Linked DNA regions of Cricetulus griseus. The protein of the gene in region 1 purifies or fractionates together with the protein of each later gene. This does not show direct contact. Links are inferred from orthologs where the notes say so. Each region holds a gene or a part of one and is shown on either strand. Other genes may lie near its edges.

Evidence for each region. The genes of interacting proteins can lie anywhere in the genome.
Region 2: the proteins of Actl6a (region 1) and SWI/SNF-related matrix-associated actin-dependent regulator of chromatin subfamily E member 1 purify together in Homo sapiens (affinity purification with mass spectrometry; 9 studies listed by BioGRID and IntAct, with this or other methods). This does not show direct contact. The link is inferred for Cricetulus griseus from reciprocal best matches to the Homo sapiens genes ACTL6A and SMARCE1.
Region 3: the proteins of Actl6a (region 1) and Vps72 purify together in Homo sapiens (affinity purification with mass spectrometry; 3 studies listed by BioGRID and IntAct, with this or other methods). This does not show direct contact. The link is inferred for Cricetulus griseus from reciprocal best matches to the Homo sapiens genes ACTL6A and VPS72.

The regions. Positions count from the first base shown.
Region 1 is NW_023276806.1:116,645,722-116,650,313, forward strand, and holds the start of Actl6a (actin-like protein 6A), read right to left. Parts: upstream 3,249-4,592; 5' UTR 3,097-3,248; coding exon 3,072-3,096; intron 2,868-3,071; exon of another isoform or gene 2,611-2,867; intron 269-2,610; coding exon 192-268; intron 39-191; coding exon 1-38.
Region 2 is NC_048600.1:113,354,954-113,359,078, reverse strand, and holds part of SWI/SNF-related matrix-associated actin-dependent regulator of chromatin subfamily E member 1, read right to left. Parts: intron 3,175-4,125; coding exon 3,094-3,174; intron 2,278-3,093; coding exon 2,146-2,277; intron 1,902-2,145; coding exon 1,730-1,901; intron 1-1,729. UniProt on the Homo sapiens protein: Involved in transcriptional activation and repression of select genes by chromatin remodeling (alteration of DNA-nucleosome topology).
Region 3 is NW_023276806.1:61,380,155-61,383,870, forward strand, and holds the end of Vps72 (vacuolar protein sorting-associated protein 72 homolog), read right to left. Parts: intron 3,231-3,716; coding exon 3,054-3,230; intron 2,244-3,053; coding exon 2,099-2,243; intron 1,362-2,098; coding exon 974-1,361; 3' UTR 875-973; downstream 1-874. UniProt on the Homo sapiens protein: Deposition-and-exchange histone chaperone specific for H2AZ1, specifically chaperones H2AZ1 and deposits it into nucleosomes.

The DNA of each region.
Region 1 (4,592 bases):
CTCTCCAACACCATACCAATAGCCGTGGGGAAATCAACCTGGGAGAGTTAAACATGGTATGAAGTAACATCCACTTTCACTGGGCAGTGTTTCTAGTATCTACTGCCATTTTTGTTTTGAGTTTCTGTTTGAATTTAATTTTGTACAAATGACTCTTGTCTATCTAAAATAATTGTCATCACTGTTCTTACCTTGGGGCAGTCCTCACCAGCATAACCAGCCCTCACTGTATATGATCCAATGTCAAAAACAAGGGCGCCAACTTCATCTGAAAAGATTAAAAAACAATTACACATCCCATTGAGGGAGGCAGGGTAGAGGCAGACAAATCTCTGAGTTCCAGGCCAGACTGATACACAGAACTAGTTCCAGGCAGTTGGGGCTACACAGAGAAACTCTGTCTCAACAAAGCAAACAAACAAACCAAAAGAGAGAGAGAGAGAATTACGACTAGCAACTAACATATTTTATGTGTATAAAATGAGAATATTTAAAACTTTGCAAAAATTCATTATGTTCATATATCATTAAGCTAGTTTTTGTTATTGTTGTTTTGAAACAGGGTCTCTATGTGATGCTAATTGTCCTAGAACTCACAGAGACCCACCTGTCTCTGCCTCCCAAGTGCTAGAATTAAAAGCAAGCATTACCATGTCTATCTGGCTAAAACCTGGTTTTAATATACCTCCAAGATTTATTTAACCTTGTTTACCAGTAGAGGTTTAATCAGGAAAGACATGGTACAATGACAGCAAGTAGTGAAGTTCCCTTACTAAAGGGACTGTTCATAAACACCTATAGTCACAAAGGACAACAGAATAAATAAATAAAGGCAGAAGGGACAGCCCAGTGCCCTGGCAATCCTTTAAACTGAGGAAATAAGAAGGAATTGTTACCAGAACTTCAGAGAGAAGATTTTGTGTGGGGAGAGCAGTTGGGGGCTATGACATTGCAGTGAGCTATGGCTGCCTGCTCAGGGAGGGAGGACCAAGCTCATAAGACTCCAACCTCCAGGGAGACTCTATAATCTAGCATCCAAACTGGAACACTTTTAACTTGGGTCAGGGGCACCAGCTTTTAATGATTACACTAGAACAAAAGGTACAGGCAAGAAGTACAGTTATCCTACCGTCACCAAATCAAAGCTAAAACCAGAGACTGAGGCAGACCACTGAGGCTATCTCTATAATAAGCACAGAAGAATGCAAATGACAACAAGGGGATCTGGTGGCAAAAAAAAAAAGCAAACAACAAAACACACACACACACACACACACACACACACACACACACACACACGCATGCACACACACAACAAAGTGTATCAAAGTACCATTTAATCATATGTAAGAAATTATGTTTCATGTAATGAAGAAACACAACAAAACATGAAAACTGGAGAGCATGGAGAATCAGAGCTTACAGTGTATAGAGGCCAAATAAAAAGCATTAAATGAAGGTCTCATTAAGGCTACACATCCTAGACATTAGGAGATGGTTTAATGCTGAGTAAGAAAGCTGGCAATTTTTTTCAGTCAAATTCAGGGAAAGGCCTCCATTCATCTTTTTCAAGTACTTCACCCCAAACAGCAGGCATCCTAGAATAATGCACTTTGGCCTTTCAGTGTTGATTTGTCAAAGGATTTCTTCCCCAACATTTAAAATACCAATGCTATTTACCATAATTCAATTGCCAAGGCGTTAAGAGAAGCTCTTCTATAATGCTAACTAAAGCTATAAATCACAACAGCCACCATGTGCAATTCAGTGCTAGCTACAAAGAGGCACCCAAAGAGAAATCACACAGCTATTCAGACATCCAGTTTAGTGCAATTCCTATTTTAAAAGGAAACATACATGCTATTGTTTCAATGAAAATGGTCTCCTATCACCTATGATATTTGGCGAGACTTAGAAAGTATGGGCTTTGATATAGGAAGTAGTCACTGGGCACAGGCTTTGAGTTTAAGGGCTTGTCATTCCCAGTTTGCCAAGTTTGCTTTCTCTGCTTCATGCCTGATTTCAGTATCTGAGCTCAGAGATTACTGCTCCTACCACCATGCCTGCCATGCCTCCCTGTCATGATGGACTCTTTTCCCTCTGGAATCATAACAATAAAAATTAGCTAATTGTAATTATTACTGTCATATTTCTTGCCAGGGAAAAGACATATAAATTTAGCAGTTTCTAGAAAAAAAAGCTACAGTTCATTCATACAAAACCCTACACAGCAGTTAAAACCAGTGGGCATTGATCTACTGACTCAATACAGAAACATATTTGTAGTGTGTGTGACGATACTACTGGGTGCATGTTATCGTACACAGCAGAGAAAGAAATGGCCTTTCTGAAATGCCTTTTCCTCATCCCAGAAACTATTTGCTCCCAACTTACAAAGGAATCTTTTTTAATTTTTGGCTTGTTGTTTAACTTTTCCAATACTTTCTTCATTAACGCGGGGGACAGCGGCCCCATCTTCTGTCAGCATCCAAGCAGAGAAGAGTCCCTAACTAGTTACACGTGAATAAACAAGTACTTGGGAGCCTTGATTTCGTTACCACCAATCTATAAAAGGCTCCTGCCCATTTGGACGGGAACAGCAGCGCGTACCTCAGCGCTCCGCTCATCTAGAGACCGGACACACCAGGAACCAGATCTAGTCGGGAGCAGCTGCTGCACCATCGGGAGCAGCAGCGTCAACACCGGGTGCGACTCGCACCCAGAGCCCACACCGAGGGCCCGAAACCTCCGCGAGCTGCGGAGGACGAACACGCGGAGGAACCGGTACGGAAAGGGACCCCGCAAGCCAGGTGACTGCCATCAGAGTCCCGCCGGTCCTGGAGCCCCAGGGGCAAGATGCGGCAAGGTCCTCCCTCGAGGCCATCTCCGAGAGCCCACTGCACGCGGGCTCCGGGTCCGAAGAGGCGGAGAGGCCCTGACCCGAACGGGGACCGGAAGAACCGGCCAAAGACCGGAAGGGCCCGCCGGGGACCGGAGGGAAACGGAAGCGGCCAGGGACCGGGCCGGTCGTTCCGGCCCGCATGCCCCGAGGCACTGCCGCGCTCACTCACCTCCGCCGTACACGCCGCCGCTCATGGCTGTTGTCGGGCGGGGACTGGCCGAAGACTACCGAGGGAAAGATAGCAGCGGCCGCGGCTCCACTTCCCGAGAACGCTGGCCCTGCAACTTCCAACGCCGCCCCCTCCGGCAACAAAGCAGCGGCCGCACGCCCGCTGCACAGCCACTCTTGCTGGTTTCTCGTATCAACCAATGACAAGGGGCCCGGCTGAGCCTTTAGCCAATCAGAATGTGGCTCTGCTGCATCCCCGCGCGGTTTAGCCTTTTTAGCCAATGAAAGACAGCTGTGGGGGCGGGGAAAGGTAGAAACGACGGAAGAAGGGAAGGAGTTGGGGTACGGGCAGAAGGGGGCGGGGCTTTGCGGGCCGGTGAAGTGGGCGGAGGCTCGCGAGCGAGCGAGCGGTAGAGGGGGCGGAGCTTCGACAAACAGATGGGAGAAAGTGAACTCCGTCGCGCGCGAAGACGGTGGAAGGGGATTTTCAGGTGGGCGGGCAAGTGGGAGGAACTTCGTTGGGGAGTGGGCGGGGTTTTGAGAGCGACTAGGTACTTGAGAGTTGTGAAGCCAGGCTGGGCCAGCAACCGCGCTGGTCGTGGAGAGTGGCTGACCTCAGGAGCCAATGGGAACTCAGGAGGAGAAAGGCGGGTGTCTGCAAGGAGTGTGGAGATTGAATTAAAATTACCTCCTAGAGGATACTGGGGGGCAGGGGAAGGAGAAGGAGAAGGGATTGACATCTGAAGCAAGCTTGTTCCTAATTTGAACTAATAAAAAAAAAAAAGGAATTACCTCCTAGAAATCCCTGACCTTGGATTGTGATGAATTAGGATTTTTTTATCAGAAAAAAACTTGAACATTTATACTTGAAAAGTGTGTTACACTTTGAATTGATCAACAACTCAGATATAATAATAGATTGCAGCATTTTTTAAAATGTCTATAATAAGAGATAGTATATTATTTCAGCTAGATTCAGATACTACTGAAAAAATCGTGACATCAATTTCTTTCATTCTGTGAAAGTCATTCCACCAAGAAAAAATGGAGCGCCATTCAAGGAAGCACCCAGATCTAAATATATCCCCAATCTATGTCTACTTTCTTACTCTCCATGTCTACCAGCGTTGTCCAGAACAGTGTCTTTAATTCCCCAGATTACTGCAACAATTTTCCTCTGCCTCTTCAGGCTTTTCAGACAGCTTGATCTATAAAAATACCCAAACTTGTCCTGCCATTCCAATACTCATGGTTTAAGATTACATAAATCTTTGTAACTACTAGCAATGCTTAAATTGGAGTGTCAAGGGTCTAAGGCTCATAGCTACTCATAACCTTAGGAAGGTTGACTAAAACCCCATCTATCTCAGTGCCAGCAAGATGGCATAAATTGACCTGTCAAGAATGGGAAATTCAGCTATAAGATAACACTTTCCTGTTAACTGATACTGTGTGCAGTGAGCAAACAATGATGGCTCCAGTCGGGGTTTTTTTGCAACAAGGTTTCACTGTGTAGGCCAAG
Region 2 (4,125 bases), on another chromosome or scaffold:
TGTGTGTGTGTGTGCGCGCGCGCACGCGCGCATGCGTGCGCGTCAAAGGACCCTTTCACAGGGTCACATGTCAGATGTCCTGCATATCAGATATTTATATTACAATTCATAACAATTATGAATAACAATAACAAAATAACTGTAATTCAAAATTACAGTTATGAAGTAGCAATGAAATCATTTTACGGTTGGGGTTACCACATAAACTTTACTAAAGGGTCAAAATGTTAGAAAGGTTGAGAACCACTGTCCTAGAAGGTCATATTATATCAATACAGCTTAATTATTATATTCCATGTTACTGCTCATGTAAGAGCCTTTCAAACTTAGTTTTGACTGTTACATTTTGCTTAGGAAATATTTTATTTTCTACATATGGCTTCTATGTTGCCAACCTTTGTTTCTACCACATAGATCTCCATTCTCCCAGTTATTTGCAGACTTGCTCCTCTATAGTTTTAGTCATGTCTTTCTTGCATCAACTATTTCATCTGGGTAATTAAAGTCTGCATATATCTTTAGCAATGTGAATGCTTAACACTCAATTCCTGTTTCTAGTCTACATTTTATTACATTCTACTGCATTTATGAGAACTTTTGCCAGTAACTCCAATGAATCCTTTCAAAGCTCACTTCCGATTCTTCCTCTTACTTAGCTGAATTTACTCCTGTCTTGGTGCCATTATAACCTCCTCCACTCTTTAAATCTTTTTAAAGTTCTGAAGAACTCCCTCTGGTGTGTTTAAAGTGGGATCTTAAATTATGATCTTGGTGTTTTTGTGGCTGGTAGTTGCTGCTTCCAATCCTGTCCAGCATTCAGTAGGACACAGAGACAGGTAAACCTTCACACAGCAGGATAAGTACATGGATGAGCATGATCCTAAAGGGAGGTGGCTATCTCGGGGGTAGGGGTGGGGGTGGGGGTGTCCTTGAGACTGTAGACTGCCTGCCTGGGAGGTCAGGAGAGTAATCTGCACATGGAATGCTAATTAGGAAGCCCGTCCATCTGTGAGTAATATATGTGTAATGTCTGATACCCTGACGACGTGTAATATATGACAGGCATTCATGAGTGATCTCATGTGTGGTATTCTCAAATTCATATTGGATTTTTAATTAAGCTTTTATAATGCTTCCATACACTCATTAATTTTTGCACTTAAGAGAAAATTTAGGTAATCTGTAAGAATGGATGTGGCAGATAAGAGCATGTAGAACTCTTCTAAAGGACCACAGTTCAATTCCTAGAATGCTTGTTGGGCAGCTCCAGAGGATTTGACACCCTCTCTGGCCTCCTCAGGTGCTGCACTCACACACACAAACCTATAGGCTTGCTACACACATAAAACAAACAAACAAACAAAAAGACTATAATGTTGCTTAGGGTGTGTCAGCAGAAGCCTATAATCTAGGATTTGGAGGCTGAGGCTGGAGAATCAGTTCAAGGCAAATCTGGATAACACAGTGAGACCCTGTCTTGAAAAACAAACAAATCCTATGTTCTGAGTACAAAGACTTTGTAAAGTAATAAATACAGCTTTTTTTCCTTAATCATTTTAACATACTTTTAAAGAGTATTTTTCTCATGAGAAAGTCATACACAAAAAAATCCTATTATTGAAATAATTTAAAATTACACTTTTTCATTTAAAATAAAAGCCTTGAGTTAAGATTTATCTTCTATTTTAATTCAGAGAGAATGCACATAGGAAAGCCCACCCCCCCTTACCGTCTGGATCTTCAGCAGGCTGAATGCTCATATAAGGCTCTCCTTTCTCCATGCGAGACTGTCTCTGTCGACTTTCTTCCTCTAATGCAGCTTCTGCACGACTTTTTGCATTAATGTATGCAAGGTATGCAGGGGAATTATGATAGGCCTTCATAGATTCATTGTACTCTATCTGAAATGGAAAGGGGTGTTGGCTTTATAATTCCAATCCTACAGGCTACCTTGTGTGCCTGCATCCACTATCTGAATGTCAGGCGCATGAGGCCAAGCATGGTGTCGGGACAATCATCTCTCTGAACAGAGAACACGAGGTTCAGATGTCAGGTGAGTGGAACTTGGTGGACAGAACTTCAGTGCTGCCTCAGCCTTATGTTTCTTTCGTAAATAATAGAATATTTTATTTTTACCCCCCATACCTTTTCTGCTTCGTATTCGTTTAAATATTCTTGTTTCTCTTCATCAGTGAGATCTCGCCACATGCCACCAATAATCTTGCCAATTTCCCACAACTTTAGGTCAGGGTTGGAAGCCTTTACTTGGTCCCAGACCTTAAAAGTTAACAGTTGAAAACTCAGTATTAATGCCTCAGTATATAATCATTTAAAAATACTCTACCATGAAAACCTTTAAACACAAACAAAATCAGAGTATCAAACTAGTATGTACCAATCAGTCTGCTTTAAAACTGCCAAGAGCTGGCTTATCTCACTTCATCTTTACCCTGCTGGATCTCATACACCATGTCATTTTACTCATAAATACTTCAAACTGATAATTTAAGAACATCAGTAATCACAGTATACACTTACAGCAAACTGACCGAATAATTAAGACTATATCTCTAACAGTTCATGCAAATTTACAAGTAGTTAATTTGTATAATACAATGGTATCATACTATCAAACATATATGTAATAATTATGATCAAATAATATTTGATCATACTTATTCATTTTATGCTCTTAGAATTGATCCTAAGAGCTCTTACATGTAGGCAAATGTTTTGCTATTGAACTACATCCCAGACATTATTATTTTTAATAAAGATATCATATACAGTCTTATATTTGCTTTTCTATTTAACATTTTCCTCATGTTTTCCAATATTCTCCAAAAGATACTAACATTACTTTCATGGCTCCAGACTAATCTGATTAATACATTTTAGCATTTTATTTAACCATGCTCCTCTTGGATCCAAGTTCTGGAATTCTGAAATCAGAATGAACCACTTAAAAAAATTATAAGTTTTTAATCCTTTCCCCAAATATGTATAAGGAAGACACCAAGCCAGTCTGAAATGGCACGGAAGGCCAGTCAGCAGGGCTGGGGTCCTCGCCAGGTCCTGGTCCCTGGTACACACCTTTCTGCTATACCTCATGTAGGGCATCAGCGGCTTATCTGGTGGCTTTGGAGGCTTTGGAATCGTAATACCAGAGGATGCCTGTAAAAGAGTTAAAATACATTCATTATTCAATTGCAAGGAGTTCACTAACACCTGAAAAGAAAGTTCCTTAAAAATTCTAATGCGCCTTTCTTCTACTCGTCCATGGATACAAGATTCTTATATTTTCTCCAAAGAAAATAGATATCACTGCAAATTCAGAAATGTTTATATCAAAAGAAAATGATTTTAAACATAAAATATTTAATGTTTTACTTAGCAGCTTATTTCCACTGTTTGACAACCTGGCTGCAAGAATAAAATATTATACATAACCATACCCTGAAAATGGGGTTATATGCCAAATGCCTCACATTTAGGACATTACCTGGTGTCCTTTTATTGCTCAGTTACTATTACACATACAGTCAGCATTCAATAGACTCTGAGCACTTAGCACTTACCACACACACACTGCCTACAGGGGATCTTGTTATCACGTCAGGAATGTACCCCATCCAAACAACACAAAGACCACCTCCCAGGTTAAAAAAAAAATGACCAATAAGAAACAGGAGGTAACTAGAAATCTAGCAAATATATTTAAAAAGAAAAGAAAATACGTCCTTTAGAAATAGACTTATTTCTCTTAAGGTTTTACATTATCTCGTAGTTTTCTATCTTTGTAGTCTTGGGACAGTGGTTTTCTTACAGTGGCTCAAGATGTGCAAACTGAAGTCCTACTGTTCTTGTCCTCACCAGACTGCCACATAGAAATAAAGAAGCCTGTTAGGCGCTGAGCACTGGCAGACCCTGGCTGGGCCTTTTGAGGCCCATTCCACAACATTGCTTTTGCGGAATAGAAACGAGGCCAAGGAAAGACAAGACACAGAAAAAGGAAAATATAAGAAAAAGGAATAAAATATTTTCAAAAGGGCAGTAAGGAAGTTGGTGAGAGAAAAAGTAAAGGAAGAAGCAACCAGAGTGTTAAGTGATTGGTTCTGTCTATGT
Region 3 (3,716 bases), about 55 Mb from region 1:
CACCCTGTCTCAAAAAAAAAAAAAAAAAAAAAAGGGTGGGTGGTGATGGCACATGCCTTAATGCCAGCACTTAGGAGGCAGAGGAAGGTGGATCTCTGTGAGTTTGAGGCCAGCCTGGCCTACAGAGGGAATTCCAAAACAGCTAGGGCTACTCAGAGGAACTCTGTCTCAAAAAACAAAAACAAACAACAACAAAAAGAGGAGGAAGAGGAGGAGGAGGAGGAGGAGGAGGAAGAGGAAGAGGAGGAAGAAGAGAGGAGGAGGAGCTGGAGAAATGGCTAAGTGGCAAAGTTAAGAACACTGGCTGCTCTTCTAGAGGACCCCAGCACCTGGCAACTACATGGCAGCTACAACTGTTTGTAACTTCATTCCAGGGGATTCAATCTCATGTTCCGGCCTCTGTGTATATCATATGTACATATGTGAATACTGTATTCACATACATGCAGACAAAACATCTATAGACAAAAACAAACAACAGCTCATATCATCAAGTGCTATCAAACAATAAAAAGGCCTAAGGACAGGTGTGACAGCCAAGACTACCTCTAGCATTTGGGAGGCAAAGGCAGGGAGATCTTAGCTGAGGCCAGCCTGGGCTATACAGACACCTCCATCTCAAAAGAGAGAAAAAGGGGAGGGAAGAAGGGAAAGAGTGAGAAAACAAGGTGAGAGGGTATCCCAGTAGTGAACCACATGTCCAGCATGAACAAGGCCATGCGTTCAATCCTAGCACAAACAAAATTAAACAACCCAAGTAGACAAATACACTCACATATTCATACCATACAAAAAGGATTTTACCATTTTATTAGATTAAAAAAAGAAAACAACATTCTAACAAAACCAGAATGAACTAGGAGAAGAAATGGTGAAAAAAAAAAAAAAACAGCAAAGCTCATCGAGGACAAAGGGAAGAGGAGGAACTGAGAGCCAGGTCGGCAGAGGAAAGACGTTTCTATGGAGCAGGAATCTATTTAATGACAATTTTCTGACGCAAGGCTCGTGGTCCAGAGCCAGGGAGTGGCTCAGGGGGTGGGGGGCCAGGGCCTAAGGCTGAGGCAGCAGGGGGTAGTCCATGGGCAGTGATGTACTTCTTGTAGGCCTCACGAATGATCTTGAAGGCTCGAGCAGTGGCATAGGGTATGTCTGTAACAGGGTCCCGGTACAATGCTGGACGATGGGTCACTGGGCAGACCTCCCGAACAGGGACCTTTGGGGGTCGCCCTTGGGGAAACCACTCTTCAAATGTTGCATCATCACTGAATGTGATGAAGGTACGTGAGCAGTGAGCAGGAGGGACAGCAGGTCCAGAGCCAGCATGTGCAGTCAGTGCAGAAGCTGTAGGAGCAGGATCAAGTCTGAGGGCAAAAGACAGAAAAATTACAAAATGCCGAGGAGAAGGCAAGGAATCAGGCTGGGTGTGGTGTGGTACATGGCTGTATTGTCAGTACTTGAGAGGCTGAGGGAAGATGACTCCCCTGAGCTTCAAGCCACTGGAGAGACAGAGCAAGTACCTGTCTCAATAACAAAAAGCTGGGCAGGGAGCTGGAAAGACGACTCAGCATTTAAGAGTACCACCAGCTACTCTCCCAGAGGAAATTGGTTTCACTTCTAGCACCCAACAGCGGCTCACACCACCTGTCACTCCAGTTCCAAGAAATCTGTCTCCTTCTTCTGGCTTCAATGGGCACCAGGTCCGACATACGTACAGGTAAAATATTGATTTACATTTAAATAAAATAAAATAAAAATGCTGGGAGGTAGTAGAGCATGCCTTTATTGCCAGGTGGATCTCTGTGACTTCTAGGCCAGCCTGATTTACTGAGAGACTTCTAGGGCTGCACAGAGAAACCCTGTCTCAAAACAAACAAACAAACAAATCAACAAAACAAAAACAAGGCATGATGACTCACAATTGTTATCCCAGTACTAAGGAGGAAGATGCAGGTAGATCATGGGTTTGGGACTAGCCTGGGCTACACAGTGAGACTGTTCAAGAAAACAAAACAGGAAGGAATAAGCTGAGAGAAGGATGAGAAACGTCTGTAGGAGGAAGTAACCTCTAAGAGAAGCCAGGGAGACGGGGTTCACTCACCCTTCCACGTCCACATTCTCCTCCTTGGGACCAGGCTCCCCAACAAGTGGCACTGTCACTGAATGGTAGGTGATTACTGGCCCAGGGCATTTGCGCTTCTTGTGAACCTGCTTCTTTTTGTCAGCCTCCAGCCTTTCATAGGTCTCTGCAAGAGGATCAACAGGAGAACGAGGGAAGGATCAGTCTATCTTTTCCCACACGGTAGCTCTGGCCGGTGATCTATTAAATTACGTGTGTGTGTGTGTGTGTGTGTGTGTGTGTGTGTGTGTGTGTGTGTGTGTGTGTGTGTGTGTGTGTGTGTGTGCGCTCTCGAGTACATCTGCACACGCACATGTGCACATGCATGTAGAGGTCAGAAAACAACTTGCCAGAGTCAGTTCCCTGCTTATATTATATGAACTCCAGGGATCAAACTTGGGTCAACAGGGTTGTTGGCAAGTACCTTTACCTGCTGAGCTATCACAGATCTCACTAGGCCCTGTCCTATGATCTTAATTATTAATCTAATCACTGCTACTCTGGCCAGCTATAGAAGTCCTTCCTTTCTCAAATATAAGCAGGTCCTTACCCACTCAATACTGGAAGAGGCCTTGTGATAGGAACACACTGATTTCCATTTCTCCCAACCCCAAACGACCACCAACCTGCTCCTGGCTCAGACATAGTCTGTCCAGTTTTCAGATGAAATACAATTCCTGATGACAGTTTCCCTTTTTTATTTGAGGTGTGTTGGGGGTGGAGACATGGTGTCATTATGTAGCTCTGGCTGGCCTTGAATTCAGAGATCCATCCACCTGCCTCTTGCTCCCCAGAAAGTGCTGGGGTTAAAGACGTGCACCACCGCCACCCCACGAGCCGGAACTAGTAAGTGTGAACTTTCTAATCATTTTGCCTCCAATCTCCATTTGTCTGGTCCTCCAGGTTTCAGTTTTCCTCATGCACCTCACAGACTGACCCAGTGAACGTAAGTTGAGCTCTTCTGTGATCTTGGCCTCCCTGAGCAGCTCTTCCTGGGTTAGTGGTCGCTCACAGTGGGGACCCTTTCGCCTCCGGGACTGTCCTTGCCGTTCCTGAACGCGAAGGAATGTTTGTCGAGTATGCTCAGCTGTAGATTGACGCATAGACTTCCGACCTGCAGAAAGTAAGATGGGAAGAACTCTTTGAATTCATTTCTACTTTCTTTCTTCTTCTTTTTTTTTAATTTTTAAAACACATTTCCAAAATCCTGGCTGTCCTGGAACTCACTATGCAGACCAGACTGACCTAGAACTCAGAGATCCTCCAGCCTCTGCAGTGATAGGATTAAAGGCATGTAACATCACGCCCAACTAAAACAAATTTCCTTTCTTTTGTTTTTTTGTTTTGTTTTGTTTTTCAAGACAGGGTTTATCTGTGTAACAGTCCTGGCTCTCTTGGAACTCACTCTGTAGATCAGGCTGATCTCGAACTTACAGAGATCTGTCTGCCTCCGCCTCTCCAGTGCTGGGATTAAAGGCGTGTGCCACCACTGCCTGACTCAGCCTTCATATTTTTAATTTTGAGACATTCTCACTAAATTATCAGGCAAGCTTGCTCTATAGCACAGAAGTTGGCCTTGAACTTGTGATTCTCCTGCTGC